Linked DNA regions of Notamacropus eugenii. The protein of the gene in region 1 purifies or fractionates together with the protein of each later gene. This does not show direct contact. Links are inferred from orthologs where the notes say so. Each region holds a gene or a part of one and is shown on either strand. Other genes may lie near its edges.

What was found. The genes of interacting proteins can lie anywhere in the genome.
Region 2: the proteins of CUEDC1 (region 1) and SMURF2 purify together in Homo sapiens (co-immunoprecipitation; 3 studies listed by BioGRID and IntAct, with this or other methods). This does not show direct contact. The link is inferred for Notamacropus eugenii from reciprocal best matches to the Homo sapiens genes CUEDC1 and SMURF2.

What each region holds. Positions count from the first base shown.
Region 1 is NC_092873.1:370,219,336-370,223,082, forward strand, and holds the start of CUEDC1 (CUE domain-containing protein 1), read right to left. Parts: upstream 2,332-3,747; 5' UTR 2,277-2,331; coding exon 1,980-2,276; intron 1-1,979. Other genes in the region: uncharacterized protein, read right to left, coding at 2,528-2,639.
Region 2 is NC_092873.1:327,717,205-327,720,951, forward strand, and holds the start of SMURF2 (E3 ubiquitin-protein ligase SMURF2), read right to left. Parts: upstream 2,861-3,747; 5' UTR 2,726-2,860; coding exon 2,674-2,725; intron 1-2,673. UniProt on the Homo sapiens protein: E3 ubiquitin-protein ligase which accepts ubiquitin from an E2 ubiquitin-conjugating enzyme in the form of a thioester and then directly transfers the ubiquitin to targeted substrates.

The DNA of each region.
Region 1 (3,747 bases):
CACACAAGCTCCCATGCGCACACACCTGCAGAAAGAATAGTGGGCTTCTGACTTTGAGGTAGAGGGACATGGGTTCAAATCCCACCTATAATGCTTACCACTTGTGTGATCTTGAACAAGTTATTAACATGCCTGGGCCTCAGTTTTCTCATCTTTAAAATGAGGGTGTTGGGCTGGATGACATGTTGGGTCCCTCTCTGTTTGAGATTTGTAAGTCTGTGATGTGGCCCCCTCTAAACTGACAGGGGGGGATTTTTGATAGCAAGCAAGGGTGTTCTTAGGGAAGCTGGGAAAGGGACTCCAGGCAGCTTTTGTTCTCTCTGGGCAGAGCAAAGCAAAAAAAGACCTCCAAAAATGGGTACTACATAGTTCTCGTCCACCAGAAGCTTAGGGTCATAGACTCAACACTGGAAGGGACATTAGGGATCACCTAATCCAACCAACCTCATCTTACAGGGGAGAAAATTGAGTCCCAGAGAATGGAAGTGCCTCATTCAAAGCTAGAGGGATAAGAAATAGGTGCCTAAAACAGAAACGGAACTCAGGTCCTCTGCCTCCCAATCTAGCCATCTCTCCACTACACCAATGGGTATAGTTTAGTTTATGATCTAATTGAGGAGATAAGACTCCAAATAAATAGCCATTGCAGAAGGCAATAGTTGGGAGGTAGGCAGGCAGTATATGAGCAGTCCAGCCAGCAAGAGGCATGGGGTTTCAGAAGAAGGACATAGTACCATGGGCCAGAAGGAGGTGACCTTTGAACTAAACCAGGAGAAATTAATAGAATTTTGATAAGTCTAGATTATGGTTATATGTGTTTTTAAGGGAAAAAGGATGAATGAGAAAGAGAGAAAAGATGAAAGGGGATAGTAGATGAACCAATTTGGCCAGAGTAGATGGATTAAATAGGGAAAAGTGAGAGATAAGGCAGGAAAAATAAGCCGGGAATTGATTGCAACAGGCCTTGAATGTCGAACTAACTTTATTCTATGAGCAAGAGGGAGCTGTTGAAAACTTTGGAGCAGAGATGGAGGTGTTTTAAGGAAAACTGCACATAGAGAAGATAGGAAGAAGGAGAGAGATTATAGAGATGGAACCAGCTAGAAGTGATCATCACAGTCCAGGCACAAGCTAATAGGGACCCGAATTTGAGTGGTAACAGGAGGAATGGAAAAGACAGGTATGGGATCAGGTGCCAGAGATACTTCGAAGGAAAAGCTGAAGGACTCAGCAAATGACTGAAAAGGGTGAGGAGGACAAGAGACTACATTCATTTTCATTCATTTAGACATTCTTTGTACCCTGGAATTGTTTCCCACATCTATGTATCTTATCTTACTTCTTTATAGACTATGCATTTTTCAAGCAGGGGTCTCTGTGCACAGTATGTTACTGACCCCTTAGTTGACATACAGTATGAAAAGGTGGGACCCTGATGGAGAGGTATATGATTTTTGCTTCATGTATTTTTAAAAAATAATAATAATTACATATTTAAGTTTAAAATAAAGTAATAATAAATAAATATGCTGTATATAAATAGAAAGCTATAAATATATAATATAATATACAAATTAATAAATATATCATATAAATATGTTATATATAATACATGAATTTATAATATATAACTGATAAACAATAAATTTGTTACTATATGCTATATAAATATTACATAAAATATTAAATATATAAATATAAAATATATTAATAAATGTTAAATAAATAATAATGATAAGCTTTCCTCACAATAGCCTTGTGAGGAACACAAGCACTAGCCCCATTTTACAGATGAGGAAACAGAGGCTGAGAAGGTTGGCTCCCCCATGGACACACAGCTAATAAGCTTCAGAGTCAAGATTTGAACCCAGGTCTCTTGAGTCTAGATGTCTACACACTACACTGACATGGGTGTGTTTTCTTCTTTTTGTAAAGCAGAGCTAGTGTGGCCTGCTAAGGTGCACAGGGTACCCCCTCACCTCGGGGGGGATGCTGCCATCCGAGTCAGAGCTATCATCATAGCTGCTCCCATCCAGATTCATCTGCAGCAATTGGTCGATGGTGGCATCAACGGCGCCATTGTTGGCACGCAGCACACACTCAATGATGTCATAGTCCATGTTAGGGAACATGGTCTTGAAGTCCTCCATGGCCTGGTTGAACTCCAGGCGCCGGACTTGCCGAGCAGGCCGGCTGTTATTGAGTTCCTGGGCCGAGGCGCTCCCCCCACCCCGGGACCCACCATTGCTGCCGCTCCTGCGGAACAGGCTTGTCATTTTGCAGAACTGTTCTGGGAAAATGTTTCAACCTGGAGCTGAAATCGATTCCCCCCAGCCCACCCACCCCTTCCCCCCACCTCCACTGCTGCCACCCCCCCCCCCCCCCCACTGCTCTGAAATTTCACTCCCTCACCACCTGGGGTGGGAGGTGGGAACAGGGCAGGGGGGGGTGGCGGGGCCTTCCAGTCAGGAGGCTAAGTGGTCATGCTGTGAAGTGGTCCTCAGGGAGTTGTTCTGGGTGTTTGGCGTCATCCAGCCTGACAATGAGGTGATGGGGACAGGCAGGATTGTCCAATGATGCCTTGACTGTCAGCCTGAATGTTGTGACATGTTGAACCCAAATCCAATGATGTTTTCCACCTGGAACAGAAAGGGGATACAAGTCAGTGGTGAAGAACAGGCAGCAATGTTGATGTTAATGATAACACAACATGGTCAGTCCACTGAAATTCATTTTTTCCTCCAAAGATGTCAGATTAGACCTGTCATTTTCCTATCTGAGAAGTAGATTTATTTCTAAGAAATATTGGGGGAGGAATTTGTTGACAAAAACTGATAGGAAAACCAGACAAGAATCGGGCAGAATTTAGATTTAGACCAGCACCTCGTACTATACACCAGCATGAGCTCCAAATGGATATATGACTTAGATATACACATAATACGCACATTAGAGGAGCAAGGAAGAAACTGCCTTTCAGACCTATGGATAGGGAAAGAGTTCATGAGTAAAACAATGACAAAATAATCAATTATAACTTGAAGATATAATTGCTAACTATAACTTGGGAGTTCCCAGCATGATGATAAAGAGAAAATCCCCATTCTCAAAAGAAATCTGAGTTTATTTGGGTAAATGGACAAACAACAGATAGAATTATTCAAGATAAAAAGAATCATTTTGATTCTGTAAAATTTCAAAATTTTGGTAGACATAAATCCAATGTACTAAAAATTAGAAGGGAATAAAGAACTTGGGGGAAAATCTGTTTAATAAGTTTCTCTGGTAAAGTTCCATATCCAAGATATATAAGGAACTGATACAAGATTAAGAGCCATTCCTCAATGTGAAAGGGTTTCTATGGAATACTAAAAATCATACATACATATATATATATTTACATCTTATTTTTAAGATTAAGCTGATGAAGTCAGACTAAACTGAATTTTCATCAAGTTATAGACTTAAAAGCTAGAAGAGGGCTTAGAAATAAATTAGTCCAATTCCCTTATTTTCCAACTGAGCAAACAGAGACCCAGAGAAATAAATGACTTGGCCAAGATCACAGGTCCAAATAGAAGTGGCAGAGCTAGGATTTGAATCCAATTCCTCTGTCTCTTAAGGTCAGTACTCTTTGCCCTACAACACACTGCCTCTGATGTGTTCCATCTCTCAAATGTATATTTTCTATGCTCTAGATTAGCTAGAATCATTTTGGTTGTCTTGGATGGTTTCTTCCCTGCCATC
Region 2 (3,747 bases), about 43 Mb from region 1:
CAGGCTTCCTAACACTACCTTATAATCAATGGCAATAAAGATAACATTGTATCTTGAAATTTATCAAAATCTGAAAATACATGAATTCAATTATTATATTACATATAATTAATTTACATTTAATGAAGTTTAGTCTGGTGCACTAAAGAAGGTCTTTCCTTAAGATTACAATCTTTCTGAGAAACCTACACTGCTCAGTGCTTTATTAAATTTTACACATAGAAAGGAAGCACCTTAAAACCACTGGCACCAAAAAAAAAAAAATCCAAAACACTGGACACATTTTAAGAATCTAATGGCTTATGTGGAAAACTCAACTTCTTTTTATTTGCTGCAAATCTGTTCATACTTTCATTTTCTCCATTTAGGGACAGATTTAATAAAAATAAGTAGCAAAAATCCTACTTTTGATACCTATTGCTCATCTGGAGTCATAATTCGTATGCTTAATATCATCATAGACACGGACTTGAAAAGGTAGAGCCAGCATACATTCAATCTAAAATAAATCTCCCACATTTATCAACCAAATTAACCTCAGAGTTTTTAATCTCAGAGGTTATGCCCATGGACTCTGAAAGTGATAGCAATTGCTTAATTACCAAATCCACATAATAACAAAGTCAACAGGTATAGCTTTTTCTTCTATCAGCCAACAAGCATTTAAGTGCCTATTTATTATGTGTTACACATTGCAACAAACTCTGAGAATGCAAATATAAAAATGCTACCAACCAACTCAAGGACCTTACACAGTCAATGTATAAGTACAGGATATATGCAAAATAAATACACAATGACCAACAGACATGAAAGAAGGCCTCCTGAAAGAAATGGCACCTGAGCTGAGCTTTGAATGCAGGTAGAGCATCCATGGAGCAGAGACTAGAAGGGAGAGCAGGAAGGGAGGACAGGAAGGATATATAATGGCCTGCACCAAGAACAGCAAACAGCCCATACTACTAGCTAGAGTGTAGAGTTCAGGAAAGGGAGTAATGTGTAATCAGTCTGAAAAGATAGGCTGGAGCCAGGACTTTAAATGCCAAACAGGGTAATCTGTACTTTATCCTAAAGGCAGTGATGAGGAGTCACTAAAACTTTTTGAGCAAAGAAGTGCAGTCAGACTTCACAACTGTGTGGAGGATCAATTTTAGAGCATAGAGACTGGAGGCCTAAAGACCAATTAGGAGCTACTGCAACAGTCCAGGCAAGAGGTTACAAGCCCTGGACCCAGGGTGGTTGTGGGATAAGAAGTGACAAGGGGATAGATTCGTGTAAGAATTGGCAACTGATTAAATATGGACAATTTCTTTGTAACAAGAGTCAAGGGTTAAGAATGACAGTAAGGTTAGGAATGACCACCATGGTGATAGGAAGAATCATGATGCCCTCAAGAGAAAGTGGTAGGTTTAGGGGGAAGAGCCAAAAAAAATTCTGTGACAAAAATTTTAATCACTTCAAATCAGAATATCAACTTTTATCACTGATCAAACTATACCTAAAACACCTATTTTAATAAAACTGGGTTTTCTCAGTAGTTATTCAGATAAACTTTAGCAACCTGGAATTTTTTCCCCAAGGGCAGGGTAACTGACTCATTTTGACATATCTTCAAAACAAAAATCAAAATTTGTTTACGATGTCATATCAGTATTTAGCACACCTGATAGGTAAATTATGAAACAATATACTTCTTTTTTAAGCTCAAGAAGAGCCATTTTTTGGTTTATTTTTTCAAGTTGGCAAACTTTAGCCAAAGTCATGGGGGGAAAACGCTTTCCTGATATCAGAGTTTTCTTTTCCCAGGAGTCCTGAGTTTACAAGTTCTTGATTTACACACACACGGCTTCTCTGAGCTCACAAAAATAAGCATTTTCTAAAGGCTAGGTTACCATTAACACTGTCAAAACGCAGAATATGTTGAATGAGCTTGATTATTCTGATTTCGGGCAATAAAAAAGTGTAAGATTGAAGAAAAGGTGGCGGGGGGCCGGTGGTCCGTCTACACAATTCCTCCATGAGCAACAAAGCCTTGCGATGTATACAAACACGGCTTCCAGGCTACCCTGGACTGGCAGCAGGGAGTCACCTGAATAACCCAGGGGTGCTTCAGCAAACATCCCCAGAAGCTTTCGTGCTCCCAGGGGGTGCACCCTATCCCCAGCGCAGGGGCACTGCATTCAAGCTCTGCGGGGCACGAGGCGGGCGGCACCGCAGCCTGGGGCTTCAAGGGACAGAACCTGGGAGGGCCAGTGCTGAGAGGAGTCTAGAGAGAGCCCAGCTCTGGAGCTCCGAGGACTTCCAACTCCGAGTAAGTCGAGTTCAAAACCTGACCTCCCCTCTACACGCGTACGCACACACGCACACTAGCATTCACGCATTCTCACACTCACAAACTCACTAAACACGCGCGCGCACACATTCTCTCTCACTCCCAGTCCCCCAACAAAAGAACAGAGGTGGCTGAGGGGCTGCGAGAGTTCTGAAAGCGGCGACTCTGGATCGGCCTTGGCCCGAGGCCTTCCGACCCCGGTGCCGACACCTCCTCGCGAGCCGGGCCGGGCCGCAACTCCTGGGACCACAGCGGGAGACCGCGGTCCCCTCGGCCCGGTCCGGCCCGCCTCGAGCCGGGCTGCCCCCGGGATCCCCGCCGGCCCATGGCCCTGCCCTCACCTGTCAGGCGCAGCTTGACGGGCCCGTTCCTCCGGCCCCCGGGGTTAGACATGGCCTCGGCCTCGGCGGCGGCGACTCGTCCAGGGCCTGGGCGCGGGGCGCGGGGCGCCGGGCCGGGCGTCTCCCAGTATCCGAGCGCGCGGCTGGTGAGCCGGGGGCGGACGGGCGGAGCGAAGGCGCGGCGGAGTCACCAGAGCGGCCGGGGCTGGGGCCGGGGCTGGGACTGAGGCCCGGGCCGGGGCTGGCGCTGGGGACGGAGCAGCCGGAGCCGCGGCCGCGGCGGCCCCAGGGTCCCGGATGTGCCGAGAGTCCTCGCCATGAGCCGAGGAGAGAGCGGGACGCCGAGATCGCTCCCACCGCGCCCGCCCTCTCCTCCGGCTTCTCGGGCTCCGGCCAGCCCCCCGCTGCCCTGCTCGGCTCGGCTCGGCGAAGAGGGGCCGGGCTGAGGCGACGCCGGGGCTGAGCTCGAGGTTCCTCGTCTTCCTTCCTCCACCCGCCCTCCCTCGGAAGGAACGCGTTCCAGCCGACGCTGCCACTCAGTCTGGGGGGGAGTGCTGAGCGTTTGGGGGGGGGGGGGTGACAAAGGGTGTAGAAGAGCTGGGGCGGGGTCTGTGACGTCACGGGGAGCGCGAGGGGACGGAAGAAGCCGAGAGGAAGGGAAGAGGCTCCAGCCGAGCGTCCGGTCCGCCGCCGCCGCCCCGGCAGACGGTCTTGACCTATCCCCTGGCCTTGGCCCTGCCACGCCTCCTCACGTGCTTTTCGGGACCCTTGGGAGGCAGAAGTGTCCCCGAAGCCCCGAAGAGGCGGCTGACCGACCTGGCGTCCTCACCCACCCCCACCCTGGGGAGACATTCTGTTCCATTCCTAAGGGGTGGGGTCAGGTTCCCCGACCCCCCGCCACCCGAGCTGGGGGTGACCGGACTCCTAACCCAGTAACAGCTTTGCTCCCTGGTAGAACCTCTTCTAGCATTTAAAGCGCTAGCCTCCCCAAGAGGAAAAGGAGGGAAGAACTCCTCCTTTTTCAGTCGAGGAAGCCTGGACAGAAGTTAAATGCCTCCCGCCTCCGCCCCCGCC